5 linked regions of the Macaca mulatta genome follow. The protein of the gene in region 1 purifies or fractionates together with the protein of each later gene. This does not show direct contact. Links are inferred from orthologs where the notes say so. Each region holds a gene or a part of one and is shown in the gene's direction. Other genes may lie near its edges.

Region 1 (5,200 bases):
CAGTGGTTCACGCCTGTAATCCCAGCACTTTGGGAGGCCAAGGCAGACGGATCACAAAGTCAGGAGATCAAGACCATCCTGGCCATCATGGTGAAACCCCGACTCTACTAAAAATACAAAACTTAGCTGGGCGTGGTGTCACGTGCCTGTAATCCCAGCTACTTGGGAGGCTGAGGCAGGAGAATCGCTTGAACCAGGGAGTCTGAAGTTGCAGTGATCCGAGATCACGCCACTGCACTCTAGCCTGCGAGAGACAAAGCGAGACTCTGTCTCAAAAAAAAAAACAAAAAAAGACGGTACTAAACCAGATAAGGACATAAACATGTACACGCTTTTGTTATTAGTCCTTACCAGAAAATTTTGTGGTCATAAGACCAGGACTTTATTAGGTCAGAATGGCTGTCCTAACAGACACCATCTTGCTGTCACTCACGATTAACACCCAGCATCTGCCACCAAAGGCTCATCCACATCAAAAACTCTTCCTTACAAGACACTGACACCCCAGATCAAGCCAAAACACTCTCTTTGTCCACATTGCTCTCCTTGGACTGGTTTGATAACCGCTTTCCCTATCCCCTTTTCTCTGAATGTTAAATGTTACTTTAATGTAAGATTTTTAACCTATAACATTTATATATTAAATAACTATACTATTGTGTATAATTTACAATGCTGACTGACTTGTGGAATGGCTTCAGCCTGTGTGCCCATGGTTCTGACTACCAAGTAAACAGGTAGTACTACAGAAAATTGCTTCCTTGGGAACTCCATGTAGCTCGTGGCTTTTACAATTAAAATAAAACATCAGTAAGTCTGATCTTGTGGAAAAACACAAATGTTCACGGACCTAGTTATGTCTGACCTTGCCCTGTTCACATACACCATTGGTGGGAATGCAAATTAGTATAGCCACTAATCACAAAAGTATTGTGATTCCTCAAAAAACTGAAATTAGGCTGGGTGCAGTGGCTCACACCTGTAATCCCAGCACTTTGGGAGGCCAAGGCGGGTGGATCACCTGAGGTCAGGAGTTCAAGACCAGCCTGGCCAACATGGTAAAACCCCATCTCTACTAAAAATACTAGCCGGGCATGGTGGCGGGCACCTATAATCCTAGATACTTTGGAGGCTGAGGCAGGAGAACCGCTTGAACCCAGGAGGCAGAAGTTGCAGTGAGCCCAGATCGCGCCACTGCACTCCAGCCTGGCAACAGAGAGAGACTCCGTCTCAAAAAAAAAAAAAAAAAGGTACATATGTGGTACTCATACATGTATACTTTATATCAAAAATAAATAATTTTTTTAAAAAAGTCCAGAAGGCTTTCAAGTGAAACACAATCTTTTTTTTCAAGTAGAAAACCTAAGTCCGAAGGAGGACTGATTCCCTCCTACCCACTCCTGGCCACCCTATCCCATACACTTACTTAGGGACTTACTTAGGGACACGCAGAACATCCTCCTACACAGCTCAGTGCGTTTCCAGTTCCTGCAGCGCCCAGTAGCTAAGACTGGCCTCTCTATAAGTATTTTAGAGATTGAATCTAAAGAATGGCAATGATTACTAACATCTATAGAACTTTTTACAAAGTAACTTCGCTCTGATATTGAAGAACACAACTCTGTTCCTTCTTATCCTGTCCGTTCAGGCCTGTTTCAGCTTGTAAGTAATACGGGAAGTGAACTTCACCTCGAGGATGATCTACTAAAAAGGAAGAGAGTCGCCCACACACTCCCCCTTCAGTACAAAAATACAGACAAAGCGAAGCTCAGGAGACTCCGCTCGCACGAAACGCTGAAGATGGGATTCGAACCACCAAACACCCAACAGAAGTTCCCAATATGACTCACCGCGTGAGCCCACCTGGAGCCGCACACTCTCCACAGCCTCAGCCTGCAGTGGCGCTAAACCTGCAGATACAAACTCCACCCTCAGCCAATCAAAACCCTCTCCCCTGCCGCCGGACCAATGAGGAGCAGCAGATGTGGCCGTCAGGCATCGCCTCAATGCTTCCTGGGAGTTGTAGTTTAGAAGGCAGAGCGGAACTTAGAACTCGGGTTCCCCTCGGGTGATCCCGCCCCCTCGACTCCCCAGCCAATCAGCAGCATTAGTCTGGTTGGACGCTCTCTTTGCTTTTCCCCACGGGTGACCACGGCTAGCTAGGCCGCCGGCGAGATGTGGCGGGGGAGAGTCGGGGCTTTGCTCCGGGTGTGGGGGTTTTGGCCGACAGGGGGTCCCAGAAGGAGACTGCTAAGCTGCGATGCTGCGTCGCAGGCGGAAAGCAATTCTCCCCACTGCTGGAACTGCGGCGGCCCATGGGGCCCCGGGCGGGAGGACAGGTTCTTCTGCCCACAGTGCAGAGCGCTGCAGGCACCTGACCCCACTCGAGACTACTTCAGCCTTATGGACTGGTACGAGCGACTGTTTCGGGAAACGGGCCCGGGCGAGAGAGACGTCGGGGTCTGGCCTGCGAGAGGGGAGGACGGATCTGGCTTGCGGAAGAGAAGGCGGGACCGATAGGGGGGCGGAGGTCTAGAGAGCAGGCGTGAGAGAAGTGTCTTGATTTCTCAGGAGGAAATTGAGAGGCGGGGACTGAGGGAAGCAGCGTTGAGGTGTGGAGAAGGGAGACGAACGAGACTGGAGGGGCGGGCGCTGAAGTTAGAGGAAATAGGGGGGCCGAGGCTAGAGGGGAGGGAAATTTGAGGGGCGGTACCTACGGGAAAGGGAAGGAGAAGTCGAGGGGCGGAGCTTGAGGAAGGGGTACTTGAGGGGCAGGGCCCGGGAGACTGGAAGAGTTGGTTTGATGTATTTAAGAAAGGACTGCAGAAGTGTAGTCCGAAATTGGGGAGTAAAGCATGAAAATCTTAATATTGTAGGCGAGACCTGAGGGAAAAGTGAGAATTCGAGGGAAAGGGTCCAATAAATAGTTTTTTCCCCTGAGGCTGACGATCTTGGAGAGATGGGGCAGTGTGGATAGAGCTGAACTGATAAGGAAATAGGACAGACTCTGGGAGTAGAGTGTGAACGGGGTTGAATTAAAATAAACCGGGAGACAGGGATGAAGGGACCTGGGCTGTGGAAAAGATAGGGTGGTATTAAAGAAAACGTTATTCAGTCACACTTGTTCAAACACCAGAAAGACTTTATTCAAGATCATCTTGGCCGGGCGCGGTGGCTCACGCCTGTAATCCCAGCACTTTGGGAGGCCGAGGCGGGCGGATCACAAGGTCAGAAGATCGAGACCACGGTGAAACCCTGTCTCTACTAAAAATACAAAAAATTAGCCGGCCGCGGTGGCGGGCGCCTGTAGTCCCAGCTACTCCGGAGGCTGAGGCAGGAGAATGGCGTGAACCCAGGAGGCGGAGCTTGCAGTGAGCCGAGATCGCGCCACTGCACTCCAGCCTGGGGAACAGAGCGAGACTCCCTCTCAAAAAAAAAAAAAAAGAAAAGAAAAGGCCGGGCGCGGTGGCTCAAGCCTGTAATCCCAGCACTTTGGGAGGCCGAGACGGGCGGATCACGAGGTCAGGAGATCGAGACCATCCTGGCTAACACGGTGAAACCCCATCTCTACTAAAAAATACAAAAAACTAGCCGGGCGAAGTGGCGGGCGCCTGTGGTCCCAGCTACTCGGGAGGCTGAGGCAGGAGATGGCGTAAACCCGGGAGGCGGAGCTTGCAGTGAGCTGAGATCTGGCCACTGCACTCCAGCCTGGGCGACAGAGCCAGACTCAGTCTCAAAAAAAAAAAAAAAAGAAAAGAAAATAAAGATCATCTTGTAGAGGGGGCACTGCAATAGAGTCTTGCAGTTAGGGAGAGAGATTGGTCTCAACTCCAAAAACAGCATGGGCAGAAGGAAATTTGTAGCCAAGGAGCAGAGTAAACGGGATTCTGGCTAAACCGACCTAACAGTATTCTTGCTGAAGACAGGCCAGGGTGCTCAGACATTACCTAGGGGATGGTGGAGGATGAACACTCTGATCAGAGATTTAGGATAATCAAATATCTAAGATTCTAGCTAAACTGACTTAGCAAGGTTATTTGCCAAAACTGGATTTTACAAGAAAGCATACAGCTGGGCCTAGGAGAAGGTTCAGAAATCTGACTAAAGTTTGGCCAGGCAAAAAATCTTTGTGTAATTTAGGAATGTCCTTTTCCCTTAACTGTGGGATCTGCCCCCACCAGTCATTGAACATGTATAAGGGGCTACAGTAACACTGATCTTTAAGTTCCTCAGGCATCCCTGTCTTGCTTCCACCTCGAGGTCCTTGCTCTTGGAATTCCACCTGGATGTCTCTTTCATCTGATCTTTGACTACTCATCATTCAGGTTTCAGTTCAGTGTCGTCTCATTGTCCACTACATCTGCTACCCACTCTGATTCTGTTCTGTGTCCCTTCGTAGGACCTACCACTTTTTGAAATTATCTGTGTATATGTTATTGCAACTTCCCCATAAGAGCAAGAACCAGGCTCATGGTAGACAAATCTTTAAATATCTGTTGCATAAATTTAATCTCCCAATTTCTTTCCAGCAACCGTTCCTTCAGAGTTGATACTGCAAAGCTCCAGCACAGGTACCAGCAACTGCAGCGTCTTGTCCACCCAGATTTCTTCAGCCAGAGGTCTCAGGTAGCTTATTGGCCAACCCCAATAATCCCCAAATATGTGTGCATACTGGGTGGCAGTGGCCTTGTGATTATGTGATTATCATGGACCCAGCTGGAAAATCAGCTGTGTCTGCCCCATGGCAGTCTGACCCTAGCCTGCCAGACCCAGAGCTGCCATTCACTCATAGCTTTTGTCTGACTTCCCCGATAACTTAAAACCTATCAGCTGAGTATAAAGACATCTCATCCCACACCAGCTCTACTTAACCACTTCCTTAGGTGCCTGCCCATCAGCATATTATAAAACTTTGTGGGCCTGCCTGGTGCAGTGGCTCATGCCTCTAATCCCAGCACTTTGGGAGGCCCAGGCAGGCGGATCACTTGAAGTCGGGAGTTCAAGACCAGCCTGGCCAACATGGTGAAACCCTGTCTCTACTAAAAATATAAAAATTAGCCTAGTGCAGTGGCACACGCTTATAGTCCCAGCTACTTGAGAGGCTAAGGCAGGAGGATCACTTGAACGTGGGAGACAGAGGTTGCAGTGAGCTGAGTTCATGCCACTGCCACTCCAGCCTGGATGACTCTGTCTAAAAAAA
Region 2 (4,903 bases), on another chromosome or scaffold:
GGCCCCACGGTCTTGTATGTCGCAGCGGCCACAGCCCGCGATAACACCTTCCTTCTTGTCCTCGCCGCCTTAACCTCATCCTCCTCTCCGTCAGCCTTGGGCCCAGCCTTGGACTCAGCCTCAGGTTCTGAAGCCGAGGTTGCGGCCGCAGTCGCCATCTTGCGCTTCTAATGACTCTCGGGTCTTCCCGCGGCCGCCAAAGACCCGCTGAGGCAGAAGCTGCCCGCGGCGCGCGCCTTATCAAAAGCCCGTTTTCTTGACACTGAAAGGGAAACTGGGAACCTTAGATAACGAGAAAATCTCCAAATACACTAAATTCATTTTATTTTATACCCCTGTAAAAACTCCCACCAGAGAAAAAACTCATTATCATGGCATACGTTCCGTCACAACTTCGGACAGAAGTTGGGTCTTTGGGCAGGAAGTGGAGGCCATAGAGGAAGTCATGGAGCGAGCGTGGTGTCTGTAGTAAAGAATTTGGCGCCATCTTGAGAAGGTCAAAGTGATTCTTAGAAAAAATACCTTACTTATCGCCTAGCGTGACCTGGCGCTTGGGTTTAGTCTCCCCAGCAACTGCACCTCAAACGCAAAGAAAACTGCAGGTCCTCGGGGAAGGATCGATTTCACCATTCAAGAGAAAAATCCATTTCCCAAAGAAATTCTTCCCCTTTATGTAAACATCTGGTACCTAGGAGGCGTTAAATACACTTGAGTTTTCCGGTTTTATAAGCTCACATACTGCAAACCAACAGTAAATACGCATTTCTTTAGAAATTCTTAATTGCTAGGCACCGACATATAAATTGAATTTGCTGTTGTTTTAGAGAGAAAAATAGACATATACTCATTTTTTTTCAATCAGGACATGGTGTTCGTTTCCTTCTTAAGCTTCCCATTGTTGAGGTAGGCAAGTACTGGAGTGTGTCTCTATCTCTACCTTGCTCCCTCATTAGCAAGCTTAATAGGCAGGAATTACGTCTGTTTTGCTTTCTGTTGGATCCCCGGGTCTAGTAGAGTGCCTTGACACATAGTAGGTACTCGACACAGATGCTGGCTTCATGATGAAGGAATTGTCCTCGAATTAATACAAAAGGGAAGATTCAGACTTAGCAAGCCGGTACCATTTGTCTAGGGACACACAGCCAGGAAGGAACCGAACCAGGATTCTAACCCAGGACTACCCAAGTTCGAATTCTAATTGAACCTAAGCCCTAAGCGACCTTGGACGGAGTGACCAAACTGCCCTGAATCTCAGCTTCCTTAGCTGCAAAATAGGGTTAGGAAAAGTGGACTCAGTGGTCCTCTGCGCCGCATTCCCACACTGCAGAAGCCTGAGATCCTCTCTCAACCAGAATCCAGCACCCAGGACAAGCCCTCTAGCGACTTCAGACCTTCCCGCTCCCGACCCCGCCCGCCCCCGAGAGGCGTGGTCAAGGCGGGGCCACAGGGCGGAGGCTTGCACGGAACGGTAAGGCGCAGGCGCAAAGCCTCGGTGACGCCAGAGAGGCGCGCTCCCAGCTCGGCGCCGACTCGCAGACGCGCCCCGCCCCTCGGCATCGCTCTGGACTGGCGCAGGCGCAAGCCGGCAAGATGGCGGCAGCTGGAGCTGGCCGTCTGAGGCGGGCAGCGTCGGCTCTGCTGCTCCGGAGCCCCCGCCTGCCCGCCCGGGAGCTATCGGCCCCGGCCCGACTCTATCACAAGAAGGTAGGGACAAACGAGGGGACACGCGGAATGCCGACTCGGGGGAGGCCTGGGCTGGAGCGGCGGCCGCGGGGTTCTACGCAGCCAGGACTAGCTGTCGCCTCCCACGTCTTTCCCCTGACTCACTTTCCCTTGCTACGCAGTGAGGCTCACTGCAACTGATAAACAACAGTTACCGCTTATCGGGCTGCGACTTCCAGGGGGCCCCGCCGCTGGCCGCGACTTCGTGCGTCCCAACTTTAAATTCGCCAACAGCCCAGGAGGCAGGGTCCTGTTGGGACTTGTCTTTTACAGTCCATTGACAGACACACCCCCGGAGCGGGCTCCGGCTTCAGCCACGCTGCTGCCCTGGCCAGATGACCTTGCGCTAGTCACTGCGCCTCTCTGAACTTGTTTCCCCAGGTGTAAATGAGGACTCTCAGCTGTCTCTTACAAAGGATACTGTGCATGGAGTCCTGTCATGGTTCCTGGCACATAGGCCCCAGCACGAGGAGACCGTTTTTGTTACTGCTTTAGGAGTGCATAGGGGAGTCAGACTTGTAACCAACATGCGTAGTGTTTTTGTTTTGTTTTGGGGGTTTTTTTGGCGGGGAAGGAGGGATAGATGCATAGTTTGCAGCCCCTTGCTGTCTGGTGACGCAAAGTCCCCCAGACGTGAGACTGCCACTCTAGAAACAGAATAAATCAACGTGGCACAAAAAGTCCCTCCGTTAGATACTATCCTATAGGGGCCTTTACTTGGAGTCAAAATCCTTAGATGGGGAGGAAAAGGGGACTGGAAGATCGGGGTGCTTACTACTAACCAGTAACCACATTAAGGCCTTCTGTGTGCCAGTTCGAATAGATGTTGATTCTGATCTGGCCTCTGCCCTTTCTCCAAGGGCTTCTTCACTCCTCCCCCTCCCGGCGGTGTGTTTCGTTGAGGGTACACCCCGAGGAAACTTGGACTAGCAGCCTTTCAGCAGCCAGGGTGCGCTGCTGCACCAGGGTGATGACAGGCTCTGAAATACGGTAATGGCACTGTTTTTATTTTGAAAGACACATAAACGTACACATTCCATAGCATTGTTCTCTGTGTAACAGTCACCTTAAGGCTTCTAAAAGTTTTCCCTTCCTGGGCCATAGTTATTTTTAGAATTTTTAAATAGTAATCATCCTTTGAGGATAGTTTTTATTTGAAAATAACAAAACTGCTGTTTGAGCCCAAGTCTGGTGATGTAGGTGGGTAAAAGTCAAGTATTTTTGTAAAAACCCTATGGAATTAAGACATGATTTCACTGATATTTTTTTCTTCTAGGTGTCGCTAATCTGTGAAGTAGTTGTAGAGGAGACACAAAAGGAATTGGGGGTCACAAATGGTTCTCACTGACATGAGTGTAGACCTTTCTACTCAGGTGAAATTTGGTGATTGCCTGCCAGGTTCAAGATGCTGACTTCCAGGAGCTTGCCACCATACCAGAGACCAGCACCAATAGAGAGTGAACACGATTTATCTTAACCCTCTCATTTTAGGTTGTTGATCATTATGAAAATCCTAGAAACGTGGGGTCCCTTGACAAGACATCTAAAAATGTTGGAACTGGACTGGTGGGGGCTCCAGCATGTGGTGACGTAATGAAATTACAGGTATGGCTAGTCTTTAATAGTGATAACAATAATCCCTTTAAGTTTACAAAGCACTTGCACATACAGCATTTCACTCGGTCTCCATCTTTATTCCTGTGAGATGGGATGAGTCCATGTTAGACATGATTGGAACAGGGCCTCAATCGTAGCTCTCCTGCTAGGCTAGTGTACTATGCCGACTTTTTCCGAAATAGAAAAGTAATCTCATTTTTGTACTCACTGTATAAGTTTAAATTCCAACTTCAGCCAACGAAAGAGTTTTGTAAATTTTACTGATCAAAGGAAAATCCCAGTGAGCTAGCAGTCCCCAATGAGATAAGAAACACAGTAAATTAAACCTGTCCCCAGATTGGGAGCAACATGAAGATAGTGTCTAGTGCTTTGGGTAAACTGTTGTTGTAGCGCCAATCTGCTGCTTCATGGTGAGTGGGCAGCTTGCCAGAGATCTTCATACCTATCTTGGAATACAGAAACAAAACAGGAGGAAACCACTAAGTATAATCTGCTGCCCAAGAAAAAAGTATTAACCAGAGACCTTTATTGTGTACTCTCTCAGTGTTTAAGAGGCAGATTGCCCCAGCAGCTGTGAGCAGACTGCCTCAAATAGAAGTTCATAGCCAAAATGCAAGCCAGAGTCGCAAAACAAAATAATATTGGGGTGGAGGAACATATTTTTCAGCTGATCTTTGTCAGTTGGGCCTGGATAGTTGTCCCTGCATTTCACTTTTCATCACTGAGCTCTCTGAAACAAGGCAAAATCAGTAATTAATACCATCACTTAGTATGGAAAGCAAGCCCAAAGCCCTTGGGGAAGGCCCCAATGAAACTTCGTGAGTGCCAAGTTCCAGAGGGTGGTCCTAGGACTCACCACTTAACTCTTGTCTCTTTTCTAGATTCAAGTGGATGAAAAGGGGAAAATTGTGGATGCTAGGTTTAAAACATTTGGCTGTGGTTCTGCAATTGCCTCCAGCTCATTAGCCACTGAATGGGTGAAAGGAAAGACGGTAAGGTTGCTCACAAATCTGACAGAATGAAATTGCATTCACCCCAAGCCTGTCTCTTGACGGGTCTAATGGGTCAAAAACAACCATAACTTTTTTTTAATATTCTGAATTTTTAAAGTTTCTGCTATACAGATGTTGATTATATTAATTCTTCAAATTGGGAATTATAGATCATTCTAGATGATGTTTGGGTTTTTTTCTTGTTGATCATTTTGTTTGTTTGTTTGGGTGTTAATTACATACAAAAAAGATCCTCACCTGTCCCTCTAACAAAATAGAATTTAGAAGAAATCTTTGGCTTTCTCTAAGGTTACCAATACTCTTATAATTTGTCAAGTCAGAGAGTTGTTATATGGTAGTTATTTTCTTGCTTATTTCCTCTCATGTTTCAGGAAGGGTTCTAGGTGGCTTACAAGGATTGGTGAAATAAACTAGCGTGTGTTAAAAGAGGGATTAAAGAATCAAAAACACAGCAAGGGTAGGGGCAAAGTGAACAACGAAATCAGAACAGTGATCCAGGTGGCTGATCACAAGCCCTCTAAAGGCAGAGATAATAAAGAGCTAGAACTTCT
Region 3 (4,407 bases), on another chromosome or scaffold:
CTGCAGCAGTTAAACAGCAGCCTTCCCCATGTAAGTCCTGACACCACAGGAAAGGTAGATGCTTTTCAGTAACCTTTCCCTGTAGGTCTCTTTCAGAGCCAAGAACATAAGGTATGACCCGTCTGGACTAAAAGAAAAATGAGGCAGAATTGTATCAATTGCTGCTCCTTTTTATGCCCATCTTGTTTTCTTTTTTTTTTTTTTTTTTAATTCCCATCTTGAAAGAGAATTCCCAGAGAGCCTTTTTGAGAGAAAGGTCATTGGATTTATTTTTTTAATTTTTATGCCATTTCTTGTAAAAGCAAACTGCTCGAGTTGGATGCCAGGTGTACATAAATGTATTGATAATATCCAGTCTCTTGCTTAAGACACATCTTTGTGTTCTCTTAAACTCTTACTAAGATTTACATGAGAGGGAGAGAGTCTCACTGTCTTTTCTCGTCTTATGAAAGTGATAACTGACTGGGCACAGTGGCTCATGCCTATGATCCCAGTACTTTGGAAGGTCTAGTGGTAGGCCAGCTTGAGGCTGGGAGTTTGAGACCAGCTTGGGAAACATAGACTCCCTTTCCATTTAAAAAAAAAAAAAAAGGTGAGGCCAAGCGTGGCGGCTCATGCCTGTAATCCCAGCACTTTGGGAGGCTGAGGCGGGCAGATCACAAGGTCAGGAGTTTGAGACCAGCCTGACCAACATGTTAAAACCCCGTCTCTACTAAAAATATAGTAATTAGCCGAGTGTGGTGGCACGCGCCTGTAATCCCAGCTACTCAGGAGGCTGAGGCAGGAGAATCACTTGAACCTGGGAGGCAGAGCTTGCAGTAAGCCGAGATCACGCCACTGTACTCCAGTCTGGGTGAAAGAGCGAGATTCCATCTCAAAAGAAAAAAGAAAATGGTGATAACCAGTGCAACTTTCTCAAGCAATCAGGTTTCTCTGACCTAATGATCTTCAAAAAACAGCTTCAGAGGACTGGCACTAGAGGTTTAGAGTACATAATCATTTTTAAACTCCGAAATGCCCGGGAAATTTGCATATACAGGAAGTAGGTCCAGGCTAAGAAAATTCTCATGTCAGGGTCCTGAGTCAGCATGTTTTTTGTTTAGTTTGCTTTGCTTTGCCTCAGTTTCACATTAGTTGATTCTTCTCCTCTTTGGAAAGTCCATGCTGAGTCAGTTTTTGTGGGTTTCATAACCCCACGGTACTATGCTGCTTATTTTAAGTAGAAAAGCCTTATGTGTGTTGAGTGTGGTAGCTCAGGCCTGTAATCCCAACACAGTGGGAGGCAAAGGCAGAAGGATTACTTGAGGCTGTGAGTTAGAGACCAGCCTGGGCAATAAAGTGAAACCCTGCTCTACAAAAAAAAAAAATTTCTTTATTTTTTTTTTTTTTGAGATGGAGTCTTGCTCTGTCACCCAGGCTGGAGTGCAGTGGCGCGATCTTGGCTCACTGCAACCTCTGCCTCCCCAGTTCAAGTGATTTTCCCGCCTCACCCTCCCGAGTAGCTGGGATTACAGGCGCCTGCCACGACTTATATTTTTAGTAGAGACAGGGATTTACCATGTTGGCCAAGCTGGTCTCGAACTCCTGACCTCAAGTTGTCTGCCCACCTCAGCCTCCCAAAGTACTGGGATTCCAGGTGTGAGCCACTTAACCCAACCTACAAAAAATTTTTTTGAATTCGTCGGGCATGGCGGCACGTGCCTGTAGTCCCAGCTACTCAGGAGGCTGTGGCAGAGGTTCGCTTGAGTCCAGAAGTTTGAGGCTAAAGTGAACTACAGTGAGCTATGACTCCCCCACTGCACTTCAGCCTGGGTGATAGAGCAAGACTCAGCCAAGAAAAAAAAAGAAGAGTTATCTCTTGATAATCTGTATCCAGGTCACCTCAACCTTAAGATGACCAAGACAGTGTTGATTTACTTTACTTTTGGGTGTTGTATCTGTTAGATTTGTGTTCAAATAACAGTGGCTTTAAAAAACATAGGCTTACAGGCGTGAGTCACCACGCCCACCGCTAGTCGGGAGGCTGAGACAGGAGAATCACTTGAACTGGGGAGGCGGAGGTTGTGGTGAGCCAAGATCGCGCCATTGCACCCCAGCCTGGACAACAAGAGCAAAACTCTGTCTCAAAAAAAAAAAAAAAACATTGACGGGTGCGCAGTGGCCCACACCTGTAATCCCAGTGCTTTGGGAGGCCAAGGCAGGCAGATTGCTTGAGCCCAGCAGTTCAAGCCCAGCCTGGGCAACATAACAAAACCCTGTCTCTACAAGCCCCGTCAGTACAAAAATTACAGAAAATTAGCTGGGTGTGGTGGGCTGCTTCTGTAGTCCCAGCTAGTTGGGAGGCTGAGGTGGGAGAATCACTTGAACTCAGGGGTTGAGGGCTGCAGTGAGCTATGATTGCACCACTGCACTCCGGCCTGGTGACAGAGTGAGACTGTTTCTTAAAAAAACAACAACAACAAAAAACACACACAGGCTGATTTTTCTCTCAAAACACTTGCCACATAGAGCTAGAACTGCTGTGGAAACTCCATGGCGCCAGTAGTGCCCAAGCCCCTGGCCTCCTCCAGTGCCATCCTTGGCATGCGGCTTCTAACCTCAAGGTTGCCATATGGTCATAGAGTGGTTTTTGGAACTCAAGCCATTAGAACCATATTCGAGGCAGGAAGAAGGAAGGAAGGGAGAAAAGGCCACAGGTACCTCTGTCAGAGGCATGTTCCATGTCAGTGCTGCCCCTGATGGCAGAGCAAGGAGGACCCAGAAGAAAGGATTTGGGGCAGGACTGATTCCAGATATGGGTGAGGATGTGTTACATGTGTGTCTCTTTCAGGCATCTGTGGCTCTTGTGCAATGAACATCAATGGAGGCAACACTCTAGCTTGCACCCGAAGGATTGACACCAACCTCAATAAGGTCTCAAAAATCTACCCTCTTCCGCATATGTATGTGATAAAGGACCTTGTTCCCGTGAGTTTCTGCATCTCTCTGGTTTTGTTTTTGTTTTTGCTTGCATGGGGGGTGGTGCTATGTGCGTTATGCTATTAGTTTTTTAGGGCAGGATTTGAGTATTTAAGGCTCCTCTTCTAGTCGGATAGTAAATAGATGGGACTATTTCCTATGTTATGGCAAGAGGAGGACCACAGTGTCACTGAGAGGTTAGGAAAATCCCCAGATCTGAGACAGTGTGACCAGAGTTTAATTAAAGAATTTGAATGGCAGAAGATAAATGCCTAGAAAATCCTCCAGCAGCTCATTTGGTGAGGTTTGTTTGAGAATAACAGGGCACAGAATTTTAGAGTTGGAACATTCCCAGAAATGAATAATTTGGCCATAACTACAAAGAAATCATGTGGAAAATACCTGTTGGGAAAGCAACAGCTGTTTATGAGTTCTACTTTAATTTCTGCCTCCCTGTATTTGACCACCTTTGCTGACGTGGTGTTTTCAAGGGCAGAAAGGACTGTGGGATTGGCAGGTTTCCCAGGTAGGTGAGGGAGACGTTTCCTAACCATGCTTAACATTGTGACCATTTCTCCTTTTGTAATCTTTGCATATATTCGTGACAAAGGAAGAGAGTCTGGCTTCTGCCTGGCATAGAGTGGACGACTAGTCAAGTGTCCAAGAAATGGGGTAAATAAAGCTGAGGTGATGATGGAATCTGATCCTTTTCTTCTTCTTCCTCTTAACCACAGGATTTGAGCAACTTCTATGCTCAGTACAAATCCATTGAGCCTTATTTGAAGAAGAAGGATGAATCTCAGGAAGGCAAGCAGCAGTATCTGCAGTCCATAGAAGAGCGTGAGAAACTGGTCATTAGTCCCTATTTATTGTTTTGATCTGAAAAATTTATTGCAAAGATGTTTGCCAGGAGTGTGACTTGTCAGGGAACATGAGCTGATGCAAGCCATTTAGTGTATCCTGGAAAGGAACTGGCACAAGGGTGGGGCAGTCATCCTCTTAGGGCCGGGTGAGTAGTGTGAACCCATGAATGGCCCAGAGTGGACCAAGGAGCTAGAGCCCCTGTGCCACATCTGCAGGGGCGGGTGGTTGCTGTGTTGCAGTCCATCTTTTTCAAAATAAACCAGTATGTAAATTGCCTGGGCTTTAAAAGGTGACCAGTAAGTCAGAACTGTTCCCTCACTGGGGGCAAAATGAAACACATATGCTGGCCAGTTGTAACTACCACCATCCTGCTTTACAAATGGGAGTGAAATGTTAATGGCAAAACAGAGTATCGATGTTCATACTTCTGGTGATCTGTGGGGTGGGATTGTTCCTGGCCTGCTGACTTGTCTGGGAGTTGCCATTCCCATGTACAGGCTATAAAATCTTAAAGCAGAGGCATCATTATCAAGTTTTCAGTGTTTCTTCTTCTACACTACTTTTATTCCTCTGCGAAGAAATCTT
Region 4 (4,407 bases), on another chromosome or scaffold:
TCTAATCAAGCCTATGTAGTGCCAATTAACAATGCCCAATTAGGTATTCTCTCTGGCTTTCAGGTTTTGCTGCTGGAAAGCTCAGAGAGGAAAGCATCTCTTTGGGATGACAAGGATATGAAAAATGATAATGGCAATGGAATGCCAGTTATTTTAAAGAATTTGAAGTGATCACAATTAAAAATTTGAGTAGACAGCAAAAAGTATTTTTTCCAGTTGATGTCTTCCAAAGAAAAATAGGAAATGTCTTCCTGTGTGCCATTTTTTCTTAATTGCTGAAAATTATTATAATGATGATAGCTGTCATATTTTGACTTAAAAAACTGTGGCAGGCACTTTACTATATTTCATTTATTCTTCACATCATCCTTACACTGTAGACTCCTTTAATATGACTGCTTTACAGAAGGGCATGCTACTTTTACCTTTCTGAATCTCAGTTGTTTCTTCTCTGCAAAGAAAGTGACAGGTGCAGTTGGAGATTGTAACCAGGTCTGTTTAACTCCAATATCCTTGCTCTTACTACTGTTCTTACAGTATGCTAAATATGCAGTGCATTCATTTTACTTGGTTGCTTTCCTTGTAAGTTTCTGACAATTAATTTGTCTTCTACTCAGCTTGATGGAAACCAGTTTATTTTAAGACAGGGCTTGACCGATGTTGTGATGGTCCGTATCCAGGGCAGAAATTATTGCCGGAGGGTACACAGGACAGCATTCTAAGAAAAAACTGTGTTTGCTTCTGAGAACAAGGTGGGCTTCAGCTTTCTGAGTGTAAGCAAATATAGGAGACAAGAAGACTAACCAATAAAGACAGTGAAGGAGCCTCAATGGTGTGACATCAGCTGGCCGAATGCCTTCTGTAAAATACTTCTGTAGCTCCCCATTGCCTTCATGATAAAACCTTTCACGGCTCTTTCCATTTGAACCTTTACTTGCTTGCCTGTGAGTAACAGTGAGGATGACAGTGACAGTAGTAGCTGAAATAACCAAACTTAATGGAGCGCTTGCTTCATTGAGCAGTGGCAGATACCAACAAAATGTTAGTTTTTTGGTTTAGCCATCTCTGTAATGATCCCTTTCATTCTTTACAATATACAAAGGTAATGAATGAACTAACTGGTTGAGGCAATAGTTTTTAATTAATCATGAGTTTTCAGGCTCTGGGATAAAGCATTCATGTATGTTCATTTAATTTCTAAAACAACCCTCATCATCATTTCACAATTGAATAAACCGAGTTTCAGAGACATTAAGTAACTCACCTCATGTCACACAGCTGGGTGAGGGATGAAGGCCAGATTGAAACCTGGGTTTGCAGATTCTAAATCTGTTATATTGAACCAGAATACTCTTACGGCCTTATAGAGGATCGATTGGGTTCTCTGATTTTAAATAAAGATGACTCACAAACAGAGGATATCAGTATCAGCTGTGGTCTGCAGATGTGTGCTGTTTGGTTTATTAAACATATTTGATTTGGAGGCTTTTTTTTTTTTTTTTTTGGTGGTTGGGGAGGGGAGCTACCCTGTTTGCTAAAGGCCCCATTTGTCACTGGGCTACTTCACGCACCCAACTTCCCTGCAAGGGAACGTACTTGTGTTAATAACTCTCATCTAAAAAGTCAAGATTAGAGAGTTCTTTCATTCCTAGAGTGTGAAGAGAAACAAAGATTCCACAACCACTTTGCCCCAGGATATTTTGTTACCTTGCCAATAAGTTTAAAATACTGCTTGCTTTTAGTTTTAATCCATTTCCTCCTCCCTTGCCTAACCCTATCAATATATAGAACAACTGCTCAGAAAACTATTGGTTTCCAATAATGTAGTTATTAACTATGACCTTTGTGTCTTGTCTTTAAACCTTCCCCCACATAATCCAGTCTTCCCTTTGACATCTCTGATGGTTAGCTCCTCTTACTGGCAGACTGGTGCTTCTGCCATATGGGAGTGCCATTGCACAGGAAAATTAATACCTCCTTCCAGGGTTTATTTAGCTTTTTCTGACACACTCAAAAGAGCAAGGGAACACATGCCTTGCTTTCCCTTGGGAAGGTCAAGTATTCGATGATTAAACTGGTAGGAAGCATTTGAATATCCTCAGTAAACAAGCTTCGTACTAGGCACATTGATTTTTTTTTTTTTTTTGAAGTTCTTCATTGCATTTGTTTTCAAAGTTAGTTTGAAAGAGCTTTTACCAGTTACTCGGAAGTTATGTGCCATTATTGCTTTCCTTGTTGCTTAAAAAACAAAAAAAAGAATTTAAAATCAGCTACCAACTCTGGATTTTTCTTTTTCAGATGCAAAAGAAATTGTTTTAAAAGCCCAGATCTTAGCTGGAGGAAGAGGAAAAGGTGTCTTCAATAGTGGTTTGAAAGGAGGTGTTCATTTAACAAAAGAGTAAGTCTGGAGGTTGTTATTCCTTGTCTTTCGGCCAAGCAGTTATGGAAGATCTTGCTCAAGATTGAAAGGCACACTGAGGATGCTTGTGGTGGGGTAGGAGCGGGCCAAAGCAACTAGAACAAACTGAAATCATAGGTAGAGGGCTCTGGCAGTGGCCTAGTTTCCCTTCTGCTCCCACAAAATGATTTTTCTTACTAATTGGTGAAAACTTGACAGTCCTTCTCTCCTAGACAATCAATGATTCATCATAAATGTTGGAAATGATACCACTTCCAACTGAAATGCTACTTCCATAATGTCACTCCTATTCAAGAACCTGCAGTGACTCCCCATTACCAGTGGCACCTGGGGTACCTCCCCTCTGATAGTCCAAGCCTTCCTTTATTTGGCCTGTCTTTTCACCTTCATCTACTGTGTCTCGTAGCACTGAACACTTTCCTCTCCTCCCTGTTCCTGTCACACACCTTTTTACTATTTACTTTGATCTTTACCCTCTTCCTATCCCTCTCATTGTTCAATATCTCCCCAGTTTTCCGCTGCCGGATCTTCAGTCAACTCTTATCTGATTCTGGTATGCATTTTAGCATTATCTCTTTACTATGACTGTAACTGTTTTGGGTGAAGAGGTCACAAAGCATCTTTTGTTTCCTTTATTCATTCATGAACTCATTTTTATTTTGCTCTCAGTGAACCTCTAGTACAGTGCTAAACACGTAGCACAGAAGCAGAAAGACCCATGGATTTTGTGAGGGTGAAGGTGAACCCTTTGCAGTGTAGACATGAGACTCTGTGTAAGGACTCTGCTTTAAAATGATTTTCAACAAACATTCATTTTCCCTTTGTTTTCTCTTTCTCTTAGCCCAAATGTTGTGGGACAGCTGGCTAAACAGATGATTGGGTACAATCTAGCGACAAAACAAACTCCAAAAGAAGGTGTGAAAGTTAACAAGGTAATATGGATGCTTTGGGTCATTTTCTATGTATGTGTTAAAAAATAGAAAAGAAACCCATCTTTTAGTTTTTGACAAAATCTAATGAAATACTGCTCTTTGGCAATGTGCCATTTTATTTTTTAAAGCTCATCTAATCTGTTTAGTAAGTGGTATGTCTTTGAAGAAAAATAAAAAGGGCTCTATGATAGTAATATTATTTATCATCATTAGCATTTAGCAAAAGTGGGTGACGGTGAGTGACCAAGCAATGGCTGTCCCTCTGAGAACACAGATGTATTCTATTTAGTTGAGAAGTGCTTGCTATGACAGCCTTATACTCAATGAGGGACATTCGCTGCTCCCACACAGTGGCCCTCCACTCCAGGTGTGTCTGTCAGAATTACCTATTGTGGTGGTTTTTCTAAATGCCCCATTCCTTATTTTGGGATGACTACAATTTTGAGCCATTTTTATTGCTGGGAGTATATTTCATTAGGAAGATCAGCTGAAGCACCCAAGTATGTATAGTATGTGGACACACACCCCTCATCCACACATAGAAAATAAAGCCTACAGGAAAGTAGCCTGCCTCAATCATGAAATTGTGAGTGGTAGAGCTGAGACCAGAACCTAACTCTCCCTCCTGCCAGTCTGCCTTTCACCATTCCTTTTGTGTATCCAGACACTAGAACTAGCTATCTGGGTTGCAGAATCCAGTGCAAAATAAAAAGGCAGGGGACCCGTGTTAAAATTTCAAGACAGCTATTGCTAAACATTAAATCCCTATACAACTACACAGATCACATGTGTCAGCCCTGAAAAGCATCCATGGTTAGAAGGTCCTGTCCTAGCAGCAAATTAGGGTCCCGCCTTTTGGGATGGCAGCTGTCTGCTCCATTAACATAGCATCACAGATCAGTGGTCTCTACCAGTGCACCATGCTGCAGGACAGTGCAGTGGTAACATGCTGTTTTTACTTTTCAGGGAGAGTTTTGTGGAAAACTCTTAAGTTGTTGTATTTATCAGTATTTAGTTCCATTTTCTTGTGTTAATTTTTGTGGGTACATAGTAGGT
Region 5 (3,480 bases), on another chromosome or scaffold:
GGAGATTAAGGGTCACTTGACAGGAAAAACATAGATGTTTAAATTCCAGAGTACAAGCCAGCATGGTGGCTCATCCCTATTATCCCAGCTACTCGGGAGGATGAGGCCGGAGTTCAAGACCAATCTGGGCAACATAGCAAGACTCTGTCTCTAAAAACAAAACAAAAAATAAATATTTAAAATTCCAGAGTGAAGCCTGGGCAACATAGTGAGACTTTGTCTCTATAAAAAACAATAAAAGAAGAATTATCCAGGTGTGGTGGGATGTTCATGTAATCCTAACTACTGGACATATTGAGGTGAGAGGATTGCTTGAGCCCAGGAGATCAAGGCTGTAGTTTCACCAATATGGTGAAACCCCGTCTCTACTAAAAATACAAAAAATTAGCCCAATGTGCTGGTGTGCACCTATAATTCCAGCTACTGGGGAGGCTGAGGTACGAGAATCACTTGAACCTAAAGGCAGAAGTTTCACCATGTTGATCAGGCTGGTGTTGAACTACTGACCTCGGGTGGTCTGCCCGCCTCAGTCTCCGAAACGGCTGGAATTACAGGTGTGAGCCACCGCGCTTGTTCTAGGACATGTATTTTTGATAGACATACATACACCCGACAGGCAGGATTCACAGTGGTTTCTGATTCTCCCTTGACTCCGAAACTCCAAGCCTAATCTCCGCCCCTGACCAGCTTCTCCTCTCTGAAGAGGAACGGACCCCCAGCTGGCTGCCGGCCCAAGTGTGTGAGCCGCAGTTGCACGCTGGGTGGAGGGGTCTGGGGTTGTCACCGAGCGGTCCCCCAAGCTCCGGTGCTGGTGGGGCCTGAGGATGCTGTGTCCTTGCGGGCCTCCCTGGCGCTACCAGGACGCCTCCAGGCGGCCCGCGGGGACAACAACGGCATTGCGGCCTACGACCTGAAGCTCCTGGGAGGACAACGGGCTGCCAGTCTAGTCCACTGTTCAGGGCGTCCCAGACTCCCGGCTTTAACAGTCCGTGAGGACCCAAACACCGCTGCCCAGTGCCCCGACTCCCACCTGCAGAGGGCGCGACCAACCCAGCTCCTAAAGCCACACGCTGCCTCTGGGGGCTTGGCGCCCACACCCGCTCTGCTTGTCTTCCCCTAGCACGGAGAAGCCTGTCCAACCAGCCGAGAGCCATTTCCCTACGGGGCCTCGTCCCTCTGCACGTGCCTAGGGCTGGGACCCCAGACACAGACCTGCCCCGGACGAGGGAACGCACGGAGCTTCCCGAGATGGTTTCAATCAGTAACTGACGGCAAGAGCACGCTTGTGCCCAGTGTCTCTCCCAGTGCTCCGTGCCGTTGGGACCCAAAGTCCGAACCCGTAGCAGGCCGCGGTGGCTCACGCCTGGAATCCCAACACTTTGGGAGGCTGAGAATCGTTTGAGCCCAGGAGTTCGAGGCCATCCTGGGCAACATAGCGAGACCCCATCTCTGCAAATAATAATAATAATAAAATAGGGGGCGCGGTTGCGCGCACCTGTGGTTCCAGCTACTCGGGAAGTTGAGGTGGGAGGATCGCTTGGGCCCAGGAGTTCGAGGCTGCAGTGAGCCAAGATCGTGCCACTGCACTCCAGCCTGGGCGACAGAGCGAGACCCCGTCACAAAAAAACAAAAAAACAAACCCTAGCTTCCTCTTCTCCCAGAACGCAGGAGTTAGGTCAGGACCCTCTGTTCCCTCCGACCCAAGACCTAGGAGTCCGAACACATAGCGACCTCCTCCTACGACACGCAGGTGCCAGGATCCCCAGAACTGCAGTCCCTTCAAGAACACGTGTTCCCTACAGGGGAGGCCGCGACCAGAGACTCCGCCCACTTCTCCCAGCCCGCTGTGGTGCAACAGCAACGACAGCCAATCAGACGCGGCAGCGCCGGATGGCGGGAGGCGGGAGTTGGGGGCCAAGGGAAGCGCAGGGCGGAAGTGGCTGTGGCTTTGCCCTTTGGCCTTGGCTCGCTGTGTGGCGGCTCGGCGGTTAGCAGGGAGTTCGCTGAGCGTCTCTGCCTAGCCGCGGTCATGAGCCGGCACAGCCGGCTGCAGCGGCAGGTTCTGAGCCTGTACCGCGATCTGCTGCGTGCCGGACGCGGGAAACCGGGCGCCGAGGCGCGAGTGCGGGCCGAGTTCCGGCAGCACGCGGGCCTGCCGCGCTCCGACGTGCTGCGCATCGAGTACCTGTACCGCCGCGGGCGGCGCCAGCTGCAGCTGCTACGCTCAGGCCACGCCACCGCCATGGGCGCCTTCGTACGCCCGCGGGCCCCGACCGAGGAGCCTGGCGGCGTGGGTTCCCAGCCTGACGACGGCGACGGTCCAAGGAACCCCCACGACAGCACGGGGGCACCGGAGACCCGGCCCGACGGACGGTGACTGGCGAAGAGCCGAACTCGCTCGATGGCGTGGTGGAGCCAGGAGGCTCGCCTGACTGCGTGGGGGGCCTGGGGAACCCGCCTAAGGTGAGAGATCTCGAGAGACTAGCTCGACGAATTGGGGATGTCAGAGACTGCCCCTTGGCGACGCAGGGGGCCTAGAGAGCCTCATGATGGACGGCAAGAGAGGCCCACCTTTTCCGGTGCTTGGAGACAGGTCGGCGCTCCTCCCCCATGAGGGCTTGGGGCGGCCTGGGACGCCGGCGGGCTGGACAGTGTCAAGCCGAGAGCTACTTGCCCGAAGGTACGGGGAGCCAGGACGCCCCCTGCTGGACAGGGAGAGCCTGAGACACCCTTCTCTTGACCCCTGAGAACACACCCACCTCTGGCTCCTCGAGTCTCCCCTCTCCTATATTTAACTCTGAGAAGTGCAGACTTTTTGCTGAGAAAGTATTGGGAAGGTTCCCTGATCAAGCGGTGAGAAGCCCGGAATCCCCTTTGGGAAAACTTTCCCCCATTAATTGTGACAAGCCAGGACCACGAGGAAGGGGCTAGCGGTCTGTCACCCTGGTTGATCAACTAAAGGGCCCTACTTGATGGTTTTGAGGGGCAACGTTGACTCATTTGCCCCTTCCCTCTCAGAATGTTGGACAAAGGGAATAAAATTGGGGATATGTCTACTTTCCTGTTGGTGGTCTTAAAGCTTTTATATATTTGAGGATTTTTGAAACCCCCCCCCCCACCACCACCACCGCACACACACACAGACACCTGGAAGGGACCATCTGGGAGGTAATAGGTGTGGGAATCTGACTCCCTCCGGAGTCCTCTAGACTGGCACATTGATTGAAGCAGCATAGTTCTCTCCCCTGGGCAGATTTGTGGAGGGGGTTCATCCTGGCTTAACCCCCAAAGATACCCCAGTTGGCTCCCTAATGGAGGGCAAGTTGTTTAACATCTTTGTGTGGGACAGGAAATGGTGGAGCTGAGAACTGGCTCAAAGCCTCTGAGGCAGTAGTGGGGGTCTCAGACCTGGAAATTTCTCAAACGCAGCTGAAGGGTCCAGCCTCAGCTACAATGAACGACAAGGCCTGGGGCAGGGGA

The links.
Region 2: the proteins of HSCB (region 1) and ISCU purify together in Homo sapiens (affinity purification with western blotting; 3 studies listed by BioGRID and IntAct, with this or other methods). This does not show direct contact. The link is inferred for Macaca mulatta from reciprocal best matches to the Homo sapiens genes HSCB and ISCU.
Region 3: the proteins of HSCB (region 1) and SDHB purify together in Homo sapiens (co-immunoprecipitation; 3 studies listed by BioGRID and IntAct, with this or other methods). This does not show direct contact. The link is inferred for Macaca mulatta from reciprocal best matches to the Homo sapiens genes HSCB and SDHB.
Region 4: the proteins of HSCB (region 1) and SUCLG2 purify together in Homo sapiens (affinity purification with mass spectrometry; 3 studies listed by BioGRID and IntAct, with this or other methods). This does not show direct contact. The link is inferred for Macaca mulatta from reciprocal best matches to the Homo sapiens genes HSCB and SUCLG2.
Region 5: the proteins of HSCB (region 1) and SDHAF1 purify together in Homo sapiens (co-immunoprecipitation; 3 studies listed by BioGRID and IntAct, with this or other methods). This does not show direct contact. The link is inferred for Macaca mulatta from reciprocal best matches to the Homo sapiens genes HSCB and SDHAF1.

What each region holds. Positions count from the first base shown.
Region 1 is NC_133415.1:22,808,568-22,813,767, reverse strand, and holds the start of HSCB (iron-sulfur cluster co-chaperone protein HscB), read left to right. Parts: upstream 1-2,122; 5' UTR 2,123-2,175; coding exon 2,176-2,411; intron 2,412-4,529; coding exon 4,530-4,626; intron 4,627-5,200.
Region 2 is NC_133416.1:115,689,498-115,694,400, forward strand, and holds the start of ISCU (iron-sulfur cluster assembly enzyme ISCU), read left to right. Parts: upstream 1-1,537; 5' UTR 1,538-1,590; coding exon 1,591-1,704; intron 1,705-2,592; exon of another isoform or gene 2,593-2,712; intron 2,713-2,998; exon of another isoform or gene 2,999-3,056; coding exon of another isoform or gene 3,057-3,095; intron 3,096-3,213; coding exon 3,214-3,327; intron 3,328-4,220; coding exon 4,221-4,331; intron 4,332-4,903. Other genes in the region: SART3 (spliceosome associated factor 3, U4/U6 recycling protein), read right to left, coding at 1-158.
Region 3 is NC_133406.1:223,985,600-223,990,006, forward strand, and holds part of SDHB (succinate dehydrogenase [ubiquinone] iron-sulfur subunit, mitochondrial), read left to right. Parts: intron 1-2,830; coding exon 2,831-2,967; intron 2,968-3,692; coding exon 3,693-3,809; intron 3,810-4,407. UniProt on the Homo sapiens protein: Iron-sulfur protein (IP) subunit of the succinate dehydrogenase complex (mitochondrial respiratory chain complex II), responsible for transferring electrons from succinate to ubiquinone (coenzyme Q).
Region 4 is NC_133407.1:131,056,225-131,060,631, reverse strand, and holds part of SUCLG2 (succinate--CoA ligase [GDP-forming] subunit beta, mitochondrial), read left to right. Parts: intron 1-2,298; coding exon 2,299-2,398; intron 2,399-3,260; coding exon 3,261-3,351; intron 3,352-4,407. UniProt on the Homo sapiens protein: GTP-specific succinyl-CoA synthetase functions in the citric acid cycle (TCA), coupling the hydrolysis of succinyl-CoA to the synthesis of GTP and thus represents the only step of substrate-level phosphorylation in the TCA.
Region 5 is NC_133424.1:47,250,730-47,254,209, forward strand, and holds SDHAF1 (succinate dehydrogenase assembly factor 1, mitochondrial), read left to right. Parts: upstream 1-1,926; 5' UTR 1,927-2,029; coding exon 2,030-2,377; 3' UTR 2,378-2,616; downstream 2,617-3,480.